Yarrowia lipolytica: one gene and its partners. The protein of the gene in region 1 binds, or shares a complex with, the protein of each later gene. Links are inferred from orthologs where the notes say so. Each region holds a gene or a part of one and is shown in the gene's direction. Other genes may lie near its edges. The genes, in order: YALI1_F09896g, YALI1_F23351g, YALI1_E34870g and YALI1_D29852g.

Evidence for each region.
Region 2: YALI1_F09896g (region 1) and YALI1_F23351g share a complex: the UniProt entries of both Schizosaccharomyces pombe proteins name them as parts of the mitochondrial large ribosomal subunit. The link is inferred for Yarrowia lipolytica from reciprocal best matches to the Schizosaccharomyces pombe genes mrpl15 and mrpl38.
Region 3: YALI1_F09896g (region 1) and YALI1_E34870g share a complex: the UniProt entries of both Schizosaccharomyces pombe proteins name them as parts of the mitochondrial large ribosomal subunit. The link is inferred for Yarrowia lipolytica from reciprocal best matches to the Schizosaccharomyces pombe genes mrpl15 and rtc6.
Region 4: YALI1_F09896g (region 1) and YALI1_D29852g share a complex: the UniProt entries of both Schizosaccharomyces pombe proteins name them as parts of the mitochondrial large ribosomal subunit. The link is inferred for Yarrowia lipolytica from reciprocal best matches to the Schizosaccharomyces pombe genes mrpl15 and mrpl25.

Annotation. Positions count from the first base shown.
Region 1 is NC_090775.1:987,798-990,801, forward strand, and holds YALI1_F09896g (mitochondrial 54S ribosomal protein mL57), read left to right. Parts: upstream 1-1,829; coding exon 1,830-2,453; downstream 2,454-3,004. UniProt on the Schizosaccharomyces pombe protein: Component of the mitochondrial ribosome (mitoribosome), a dedicated translation machinery responsible for the synthesis of mitochondrial genome-encoded proteins, including at least some of the essential transmembrane subunits of the mitochondrial respiratory chain.
Region 2 is NC_090775.1:2,333,184-2,336,083, forward strand, and holds YALI1_F23351g (mitochondrial 54S ribosomal protein uL14m), read left to right. Parts: upstream 1-1,939; coding exon 1,940-2,329; downstream 2,330-2,900. UniProt on the Schizosaccharomyces pombe protein: Component of the mitochondrial ribosome (mitoribosome), a dedicated translation machinery responsible for the synthesis of mitochondrial genome-encoded proteins, including at least some of the essential transmembrane subunits of the mitochondrial respiratory chain.
Region 3 is NC_090774.1:3,484,950-3,487,833, forward strand, and holds YALI1_E34870g (uncharacterized protein), read left to right. Parts: upstream 1-2,026; coding exon 2,027-2,203; intron 2,204-2,290; coding exon 2,291-2,362; downstream 2,363-2,884. Other genes in the region: YALI1_E34857g (uncharacterized protein), read right to left, coding at 10-753; YALI1_E34880g (uncharacterized protein), read right to left, coding at 2,784-2,884. UniProt on the Schizosaccharomyces pombe protein: Component of the mitochondrial ribosome (mitoribosome), a dedicated translation machinery responsible for the synthesis of mitochondrial genome-encoded proteins, including at least some of the essential transmembrane subunits of the mitochondrial respiratory chain.
Region 4 is NC_090773.1:2,984,070-2,986,979, reverse strand, and holds YALI1_D29852g (mitochondrial 54S ribosomal protein mL59), read left to right. Parts: upstream 1-1,805; coding exon 1,806-2,357; downstream 2,358-2,910. Other genes in the region: YALI1_D29841g (uncharacterized protein), read left to right, coding at 2,406-2,456. UniProt on the Schizosaccharomyces pombe protein: Component of the mitochondrial ribosome (mitoribosome), a dedicated translation machinery responsible for the synthesis of mitochondrial genome-encoded proteins, including at least some of the essential transmembrane subunits of the mitochondrial respiratory chain.

The DNA of each region.
Region 1 (3,004 bases):
GATCCTTGTGGTCAAAATACTGCGGTTTTCAGGCGACAAAAAGAAAATTGAAACTTGCACCGACACTAGTGACACAGAACCAGTGGCCCCATGTCTGAAATACGCTGGCTCGTCCCGGGGATCGTTTCAAAAGGACGTGTTTCTGTGTTTCTGAGGGTTGCTAATCCGGGGTAAATAGTCTCCCTTTTAGATTCCCCTTTAGATTCCCTCTTTGCTCCGTATCACAAGACACAACATGGGCTGACAGCACCCAAAAGAGGTTCAGCAAACACACGATAATTACGAGTGTCGTGGTTGTGGACCCATTGTTTTGTGTCGGACGAGACGTTTGTGGTGGTCTTGATGGAGTTTGTGGTGGTTATCATCTCCCAGATTTTTTGCGTCGTCATCTCTCTGGGGTTTCTCCGTTATGTTCTTGCTCAGTCTTCCTTGATACACCAGTTGGTGTCTTAGGTCTCTTTACCACGCCTTTGCCACTGGATATCATGCATCCGGACAGTTGGCAAACCTCATGTGATGGTCGCGTATTATCACGTCTGCAAAGATATATAAAGACATGGGTCCCCTCCCCCCTCTATCTTTCCGTAACACACGATGCGAAATACCAACACTACCAACATGAACCACGACCCACCGGTGAGACGCTCCGGAACATGCACCCTGTGTATGGACAAGGTGTACATTGACGAGCTGTACACTCATCGCAAGATCTGTAAACCTGACGATACGGAAATGATTCTGGCCGATAAGCAGTCTGAAGAAAACCTCGCAAGGCAGTACTACCTGCATCCCACCTATTCACAACAGCAAAGATGGTGGGGAAGTTTCGTGCCCCATTTGTGGTGTCAGTAACCTGGCAGCACTAGCTGAGAAGCTGCTGTGAGATGTGAGCTAATCATACATGCTGACCTCCTTGTCCTCAAGATTTAACATAGCTCACACCTGGAACCTCCGCTACATACACTGTCGTGAATTCCAGATACTAATTACGAATACGAGTACGAATACGAGTACGAGTAGCTACCGAACAAGTATGCCCGTGTTCAATCACTCATGAGAAATGAAAACGAGAAAAATATAATGAAAAATACGATAATATTATTGATGAATACAAAATCAGTTGTATATACCCCAAGTACAGTAGCAACCATTGGTTTAGGACCTTCATATACCAGTACATACATCTACAGACAAAGACAGCGACCATAGATATGGTAAGAGCACTTGTATTGTCATGTGGGGGAACGGTATAGTTGTCCTAATCAATCTGAGATTCATTATGAACAGATTTCTAGTATTTATCCTCCTTTTTCTATGTATAATTGTTAGAAATATTCTATGCAGAAGTTGTCCGAAATGTACTATCGATAACCATCATGTGCATGTACAAGTACACTGTACAAGATGTATCATACGAGAATGTACTGTACCGATACTTGTAGTCATTATAGATATCCCACTCGAGGTTTTTGTTTATGTCGTGTAAAGGTCTCATTATCGCTTGGATCAGTCCGATACCAGATCATCTCTCACTCCTGGTCTTCGTTAGTTAGCTTCACTGTACTTGGACTCTAGTTGAATACCTCGTCTATCAACATTACAACAAGTCACTCAAATCAGCTCCAGTAAACTCAAATATTTCCAAGAAAATTGTATGCCCATTTTTCCCTTTCATTTTACACCCCTTTTTACAACTTCTACTCCTCTGGCACCGGTATTCCAACATTTCCCACAAGACACCACCGAGAATCGAACTCACCACCCTCTCACATTTCACCCCCCAAGCAGTCGTCCCTTCTCAGGTCCCAAACCTTATCCACTTACCCTACATGAAATTTTCACACAAGCACAGATACACACTCACGTTGCAGAGTTCCACAAACAGCACACCCACCATGTTTGGCCGTCTTTTCACCCGGCAATTGTCGTACCAGCAGCGCCGAATCCCCCGCTCGGCGATTCTGCAGGGTCCCGTGACTCTGGACGTTTTGGCCAAGGACTCGACCCGTCCTTATGGTCTGTCCGAATCCAAAAAGGAGATTGATGCTCTGAAATCGTCCCTGTCGGACTCCGTCAGCGGCCTGGAGGACTCTCTGCTGCTCCAGGTGCTCACACACAAGTCCTTTGCTGGCGGACTGCCCTCTCACAACGAAAAACTGGCGTTTGTGGGCCGAAAGTTTTTCCCAGTCTCGGTTCTCTCTCACAACCTGTCCAAGGAGGCCTCAAGCGACCCCGTCAAGGCTCTGGAGTCGCTCAACTTTGATCTGTCTGGGTTTGCCGCAAAAAACGGCCTCGAAAAACTCGTCTACTGGAACACCAAGGGAGTCACGAACGCCACTCCTTCATCAAAGATCACCAGCGGATCCGTCTACGCCCTGGTGGGCGCTATTCTCCTCAAGAAGGGCGAGAAGGCCGCCCATGAGTTCGCCCAGAAGGTGGTCCAGCAGAATTAAACTTGTATATATGAGGGGATGCACACCAACCAACCAAGTGTGAAGCACATAGCAAATGTGAATGATGAATGCATTGAATGAACAATCAAAGCCAACCAGCAAACGAGCGTGGATAGAGACACAGCCAGATCAGTAGGTATGAGTGTCAGATCGGCAGGTCGATGTGTTGTAATACAAGAGGGTAGGAGCATCACCAGATTACTATCGAACATACTGTAGTAAGAGAACGCATATACCAAAAGGATCCTTCCAAAGCAACATATAACCTGAATCGCAATGTCAGCAGAAGATGTCCCCACTGCCATAGAGGTGGATCGATAGTCTACCTGTAGTATTGGTGCACGTGACCTAGGTCAGACTGAGATGTCACGTACAAGAATTGAGACGCAGAATCACACACAAGGTAGCCTCGGCAATATCACTAATTATCACCTAAGTGATTTCCGCAAGATCAACAGAGTCATTTGTGGCCCGCGTTTCTTTCATCAACAGCTACTGAGAGGTTCGATATATATACTACAGTTACTCAGCAGATAGTTGAGAGAAACAGA
Region 2 (2,900 bases), about 1.3 Mb from region 1:
AGAGTGGTTTATGATCGTGTCACAAGAGGTGTCTGTGAGCTGAGATCTATTTTTGGAAACGGCGACGGAATACTAGCGAGCGTGGAGGCCGTGGTCGTGTCGAGGTCGAGAGCAGTGTTGGACGAGCAAGCTGAGGGTCGGAGTAGCTTGGTTCACCGCGGATTCGAAAAAAAAAAACCGGTCGTTGCTGATACAATACAAGAACAAGTAGACGTCTATTTTCAAGTTTGCATTTTCTGGCTTTGCTAAGTTGACGAGGCGGTGTCCAGAACTTTAAAACCACATTAGAGTTTCTGGTCCGAAACCAGAAGGGCTCTTTGGTGTAGGTATCGTAGCAATGAGGAGTTTGGGGTGATCGAGCGGGGATTTGAGAAGGCACCACCCAAGTTCGTGGTCACGTGATTAATCCAGCGACTTTCCCGCCTCTTTTTGGTCCCCGAAACACCCTCTTCGGCCCCCTTGAGAAAATGTCACAGTACGCTGCAACATGCGCATAAATCCACCTGTTCACATTACATGAACTATTGCTTGGCTACCCTTTTGGTAAGCAATGAGCTAACCGAGAGACACGGAAGAGGGAGGGGGGTCCTTTTTAGAGCCGCTAAAATAAATGGCGCGCTGGTAAAGTGTCCACTTTTGGTCTTTATGGAGCAATGGCACGTGCTCTGATATAGATCCATTGCAATTCTGCGATCCAGCGGACGTGCCATACATCAATTCCATATCTCGATCACCTCGCAAGTCACTCTATTTACACATGGAATGTGTGTTTAAATTCTGGAAAAAACAGGCCCACAGGCTGAGTTGGAAAAACAGGGATAAGCAAACAAGGTTGGCTGGCTCTCCCAACACAGCAAATATGAGTGGATGTCAGACACAGTGGAATGAGAAAACAGCATACAGCATACATGGTCAGGGGTTTGAGGTGATATGGAAGAAGATCAGAGATACTCCCGGAGGATTTGACAGTACCCTATAAGCAAGCTGTTCACGTCATCTACCCTCGCGCCTATATACAACCCCAACTATTGGTTGTTGACATGGCTTCACAAGCTCCGAACTGTATTTACGCACTGCGAGATTCGTGTAAAATGAAATGCGCTTGTACTAACGTGATCTACGCGTGGCGCGGGGTTTGGTCGAGCTGAGGATTGATTGGCGCTGGATTCCGAGGCTGTATTTCAAGTCACGTGGGCTGAGAGAGAACGAGGCGAGATAACTGAAGCAGAAACACTACAAGTACAGTACTTGTAGTTAGTGTCTGGCGTTTCCCTTCGTACTGAAAACACTTACACACCCTACAATGACATCATGATCACCAAGAGTGATTGGTTCCGTGGAGATTTAGATATTTGAGATGCAAGAGTGTCGTCGGCTCCGGTGGCTTAGCTGCGCTACAGGTACTGTACATACTGTACTCGTACTTGTACCAGCTTGACATAGCTGGCACGTTCCAGTATATGATAGTGGAACCACTTGTTAGGTATATTGGTTGAATTTTAGTAAGCGGGATCAATTCAGCTGACCAATTGGTACTCAATGTATTTTACAGCCTATCTCCAGCATGTCTGGAACCCATGCTGTATCATACTCCTTCATGTTTCTGATCTCTACAATACTGTAACAAAGTTCCACTTTTTTTGGCCAACTCTTTTCCCAAATTCTTAGCATACATCTCACTTATGGATCTCATCCCCATTTAAGTGACAAACCCACAATCTCAACAGGCAATTATATTCAATAGGCGCTTTATATTATTAATACCTGGAAAAAACTCACATGACCTAATCCTCTTCCAGGGCTCCGCTAATTGTCGCCCTCCTTAGTCATATGCTCTGCTCATACACACTGTCATTTAAGGTTTCGAGAATCCAACTTTTCACCCAGATTTCAACATCTCAGTTAGGATCTAACACAACTACACACAACCTCACTCACCATGTTGTACCTCAAGTCTCTGATCAACTGCATCGACAACTCTGGTGCTCTGCTGGTCGAGTGCATCAAGGTGCTGCGAAAGTCACCCAAGAACTACGCCGGTGTCGGCGACAAGATTGTTTGTGTCGTCAAGCGGGCCCGACCCATTCCTAACGGCTCTTCCATCACCCAGAAGGCCCGAAAGGGTGAAATCAAGCGGGCTGTCATTGTGCGAACCAAGAAGGAGATCCGACGACCCGACGGCTCCTACATCCAGTTTGATGACAACGCCTGTGTGCTGATCAACGACGCCAACGAGCCCGTGGGTAACCGACTCAACGGAGTCGTTGCCAAGGAGGTGCGAGAGCGAGGCTTCACCAAGGTCGCTTCTCTGGCTCCCCGAGTCTTGTAATCTGTGCTTACCGTACCCGTACCGTAACCATGGCTTGTATATAGTATTTAAATGTTTGGTATTCACAAGCTGTAGTGTGGGATGGGTAGCTTGGAAACAAGGAGTGGTTGTAGTGCGAGTACAAGTAAGCCCAAGAAAGTAATTTATCGATGATTATAGATAATGAATGAATGTTGTCACAGATGTAGTTACAGCACTCGTACGAATACTTGTACCGTATGTACTTGTTCTGTGGGGATAGAGCTTGCCTCCATACTTCATCACTATCTTACTTCGTCACTATTGTACTCCATCATAGATTCAGCCATCCAGAAATAACATGTCAAAGTGCTATTTCGAGATAAGGAGCAACTCTTGTTTGTATCAACTTGAGGTTCCGTTCTAGAAGACGGTGTTTGATCAAGTAGAGAATCTCATAGCTATCGTCGTATGCCCTCAAAATGTCATCTCCACCCCATACCAACCAACGTCAGACCTCCTCCATTTTATGAGACAAAGTCTCACACGCCCTTCCCAATCCCCTGTGTTACAGCTCAACTTGGTCTCCGCCACCTATCCCTCCACCGCCTAC
Region 3 (2,884 bases), on another chromosome or scaffold:
TGTGTTCATTTACTTTCCAAAATAAAACTCGACCATGTGCTGAACGACATTGAAGCCAAACAGCGATGCAATGTAGAAGACGATAATTATGGGGATGGGCAGCAAGATGAACTCGGTGTGTTCCAGGAATGGCAAACTGGAGTAGCCGTAGAAGGTGACGAGGAAGTAGTAGCAGGTGGAAAAGGCGTACAAGGTGTTGCCGACAAACAGCGCCAGCCAGTTATCCTTAGTGAGCACTGGAAGAAGCACAAATTGCAGCACGTACAACAGCAGCCAGACAATGAGGAATCCATTGCAATGGACGTCAAAACAGTATGCGTACTCAAGAGCTCCTTGGGAGAACTGGTCACCTTTCTTCGTCAGGAATTTGCGTATAGTGAAATAGAAGACGGCGGCAATGATGAGTCCCAGGAGCAGGAAATCAACCAGGACCATGTAGAACATGAGTCTAATGATTCGGACGATTCCAGGTTGGTAGGCGAGTCCCCAACCAAGTGCACTGATCAGTAGCAGCACATTGAGGAGGATAAAGAAGGACGGATCGTCACGGGCCCACTTGTTCTTGGTCTGTTTGTGGTAGTAGAGGTTCTTGTAGACCCTCTTGGGTCGAAAAATGAGATAGAAGATTTCCCAAGATGCAGTTTCGAAGTCCAGTGTTCGGGGGCGGAAGATTCGACGGAGCATTTGCATGGGTCCGCCTCCAGACCGGCCAGCCCGCACATCCGACTGGTTCAGCGGCAGTCGGTGGTTCATAGTGTTGCGTGGCGGATTTCAGAGTTAATCACGTCTCCAGATGGTGATGCTGCGTTGTGAGGTTAGGGTGTTGGGAGGTGAACGTGGAGGTACCGGGGACATGTGCGGAACAGAGAAACGTGGCGTCTTGATGTGAGAAGCGACTTCTTAGTATATGAAGGTCATTGCGAGTAGCCGAGTATGTGAGCGTTCAAGAAGATCTCTCTCTTTTCCTTGTCGCCCTTTCATTCTGCTGTTCTGACTTACCTAAGCTGGTCACAAGGGTATCCCGGAGTCTATATCTTGTGAAGGTATGTCTACCAGAGTTGAGGTAAAATGAGCCTGAATGTCATGCCAACAATGGATGGTTGTGTTGATGATTCCAATGACATTCTTTGTTTTGTAGATATGACAGCGCTAAAATCAATCAACAGGTTCAAACGGAGCTCTCTGTGCTCGTGTCTCCAACAAACGTGCAAGTATTTCTCAAAGCGCAATCTCGATAATCTCTCTGTCGAACTGTCATGGGACCAATAACTCCACTACTAAACGAGACAGTTGAAAAGTTTCGATCCTGTTGCTTTCACAAAACCATACTGATATCACACCACGAGGATGTGGCAGTTCCACCCAGTCTACATTAATTACACGTGCTACGAGTACCGGCAGCACAGTATGTACGAGTCGTTGATTGTTGTTAGATCAACCAAGCAAGTCCAATTGGGTATTTAACAATTACAAATTGCACAAACCCCTGCTCGGTATATTTCTTGGTCATTCAAAGGATACTATGGGCAAGATATCTCCACATGTAAGTTAGAGGTCTTACCCGATCGCGTTATCAAGGTCCCGTGGGTACCTAATTATATCCCCAAGCTCGAGTATTTGTTGCAATCACGAACTTAGCACGCGGCTGATGAGTGCTTTTCCGGTATAGCCCAGCAATATCATACCACTCACATACCCTAATGGTGAGTTAAGGCCGTGGAGAATTAAATCCGAGACATATGTTGGACAGCGTGATGAGTATGAATTACACCAGATTGTAGTCGGATTTTCGCTTAGTCCCGTCCATTTTTTTCACACTTCTCCGACTACTATTTCGAGTCATTCTTATGACATACGTACGGAAGTCTCTCGTGTGTGCCCACATGTTCCGTGCAGTCCCAAATATACATAACCCTGGTGGCTAAAGCTGGACCGTGGCGCCAAAAGTTTATATTGTTTGAAGTGCGAACTTTGAAAAATTCACACAACATAAAAGCGTTGCAAAGACCAGACAATCAAATTCGCAATGTTCAACGTCCTTCGATCCATTAGCCGAGTTCCGGCCATGATTACTCTTCAGCGACCCTCCCTGTTCCAGACCGCTGGCCAGGTGTCTCGACCGGCCGTGAATGCCGCTGCCGCCATCACCGTCCGAGGAATGAAGACCAAGTCTGCCGTGCGAAAGCGATGCCCCGACTGCTACGTAAGTATCCATCCACAAGAGTTTTTCGTGACACTGTTCACTAGGATCAAGTGATTCCGCCCCTTCTAGACACGTTACTAATATCAGATTGTCACTCGAAAGGGTCGAGTTTTCAACTACTGCAAGACCCACCCTCGACACAAGCAGCGACAGGGTTAAATGATGCTATTTATTGTAATTGTACATATTTCTGATTTACCAAGGGAGTGTGGGGGCGAAATTGCGTACACTGGTTTCGATGTGGACGGAGTGGATGTGTAGATAGGTACTGTATTCAGTTTGCCGCCTGATCGGATGGCCACAGAAGGACAGAAATTGGAGATCTTACAGAACATGTACCGTCAAAATAATAAATCAACGCTTACACATCTCAAAACTTCAACTCTTTCAAAAGTTCACTACTTGTACAATTGTAGTTGCTTAGCTACTCATTATCTGAGCACATACACTGCAGTACTGATTTATCATCTCTATACATTGCTCACTAGTTCTGCCAAGTTTGCTTACTTCATTGATCAATTGATCATAAATTATTCTATAATATTTTGCATGTACATGTGACTACTGTAGCACTCATGACTTAGTCAACCTCCACCACGGTAGGGCACTTGCCGCCGCAATGGGCAGCACCCTCACCTGCGACAGGGAAACCTCCAGAGACTCCGTAAAACTTCATCAAGA
Region 4 (2,910 bases), on another chromosome or scaffold:
GTCCAGCTCCCACACGACCCCCACGAGCGTCCGTGTTTTGCCACTGCCCTGCATCATTGGACCTAATTGATAAATACACGGATGTCTATTGAACTTTTTCATCTACGCACATTGATATAATTCACTTTTCCATCTTCCAATCAGGACATGAGCAAAGATGGGGTCGTTTGATTCAGTAGTCCGATAACTATGTGACCATACGATACTGTAACCGCCGTCACTAACTATATACATATACCCCCTGATGTAGACCCCATGACCATTATACTTGTAACACGCCAGAAAGGACATTCGCTTCGCCCATTTCCTCGTCCCATGCTGGCGTTCACATTCATAGATAAACTCATCCAGTCGTATTCTCGGAGATGTGCTTTGTGACTCACAAGGTGAAAAGTGAAACTTCAAAAAGATTGTGGGGGCGTCATGTGGCATGGAGTTGGCAGAGGCCAAACTTGAACGTTCAACTGCCAATTACGCCTGGTTTATTCTATTGGCTTCTTCATTTCCGAGTACTTATCTAAATACAAGTGCAAGTCCTTCTCCCCTTATTTCCAACTCTGATAAGCAACCTGCATGATCTTTGTTGGTCCCTTTGTTGGTCTCTTTGTTGAACGCTCTTTGTCCGGCTGAACAAAGACTTTAACTAGATGTGAATAGGTGTAGGCTAACATAGGAGATGGTCTAAACTAACAAAGGGGCCGTTGTGTTTTGATAAAAGGAATTTATAGCGTGTTGGCGTCTTGGTTAGATTAAGACTCTGTAAGAATACCTGTAGTTATATGCTCTACTGGCGTGCAGAGAAGCCTATGGCTTTTATTCAGCATCAGATCGTTCCAAGTGAGCGGAGTGCTGAAAGATGAAGGCACACATTCATTAAACATGTTCATGTTCATTCGGGCATAACAAGCCCTATTCCTTTGGATATTTCGATATTTACCTCCACAGTGTGACTATTCACACTCCATCACCACTCCACCGGGAGCCACACCCTCGCATCGGGTGCAGGATCCAATGTTTGGAGATGCTCAGTAGGCAGTTTGCAGAAGCTACATGTACAGTATACCATTGTATGTACTATGGAGCCATAAAAGGTGATATTGAAACAATTACCCGACGCTTCACTTCACTACTTACGTATTTCACGACGTCCTTGGTGTGCAGAGTAGTGAGTCTACATAGCGGTTCATATCCATCCAAAGATACCACTTGTAAGTCAGAAGCGTCGAAACTAACCAAGTTATGGGTTAATCCGTCAAAGTCGTGTTAATACGGTACTTATGAGCTCAACAGATATGTCAAACTCAGTTGATATATTTGTTGAGAAGTACACGATAACTGGAATGCATCAATATCACTGAGTAATGGTCCAAAATGAGTGGAAAAAGTTGCAATCATTTCATCTCGTGGCTGAAACAAGACTTCCTAACAAACCAAGTGAGACCATCGACTCAATACCCTGAAAAGAGCATCTCTTCACTCGACCTACAACCACGTTTCCGCGGAACGACCGGGGTTCGATTCTCGATCAGACTACTACTAAACTTACTCATAATCTACAAACGAGTACTCCTATACGCTCTCAAAACTGTTCCAGTACAGCTGAAAATGAAATAAAAATGAACCTGAACTAAAAAAAGGAGATTATAAAAACATATTTATTCTCATTTATTCATATATTCCACAATTTGACCTTTTAATACTGTTCCACAATCGACGGCCAAAAATTTCACCTCCAGTTCAATTAAGGTTTTCCACTTGGATCAAAAATTGACCTGCACACCGATTCGTCATCACCACCACACAAAATGAAACCGTCGGTCAACATGCTCAAGCAGGCCGTTTCCAGCGCCGTCAAGGCTCAGGTGCCCGTCATCGACGCCTCTCCGTCGTACATCCCCAACGCCAACTTCGCCAAGCTGCCCCAGAAGCTGCAGGACTTTTTCCAGCGGTTCCCTCCCCAGCCATTTGTCAACTACTCGGCCAAGAAGGGGTTCAAGGACGCCCCCAACGCCAACCCCTTCCTGCCCAACAAGTCGCGAGTCACCAACAAGACCCACAAGCCTCTGTACTCGCTGAGACGACAGTCGGACCTGTACAAGCTGGCCCATAAGCACGGAGTGCACGAGCTGCTTCCTCCCATGGAAAAGACCTTCTTCGAGACCCGACACGAGCAGGCCAAGCCTCTGATTGGCGAGATGGTGTGGAAGAAGCATATCCGAGAAAAGACCAAGGAGTCGCGAAAGGAAAAGATTGCCAAGGCCTTGGAGACCATGGACGAGAAGATTGCCGAGGCAAAGGGAAAGAAACACTGGGAGAGATTGGAGCGACGGGAGCGAGAGAAGAAGCAGTGGGTTTAGACAGATACGAGAGGAGCAAGTGTCTGTACATCGAACACAACCAGATGGATGGCATCCGTACATCTCATTCGATCTACCCAGCAGGAGGATATGTATATAGTAATGAACTTGAAACAAGCCCAGAGCCGAGTGGCTCTTACAGTACAGTACATACTGTAGACTTCTGTGTACGTCGAGATGGTCTTTGCAAGATCGGAGTTGGGGTTTGAAGCTTTGACAAGGTGACAAACACGTCTCTAATGCGTATAGATCCCTCGAATACTGCCCCGAGTATCGAGAGTACTAAACAACCTGGTCAAGAACCAGGACGAGAATATCAAGTTCCAAAAGCCTCTGGATATGAGAATTCCGAGAATTCTGGCCAATTAATCCAAGGGATTGAGATTGTCTTCGCAAGTCGTCGCAGCATTGACGGTTGATAATACTGGTCGTACCTTTCTGTCAATGAGTTTCAGCAGAGAAGATAACTCCAACCCTAGCAAACTCGCCGACAAAGTGGTCGAGGTACAAGACACAACAAGGTCGAACATTCATATACTGTACTTGAGAACAC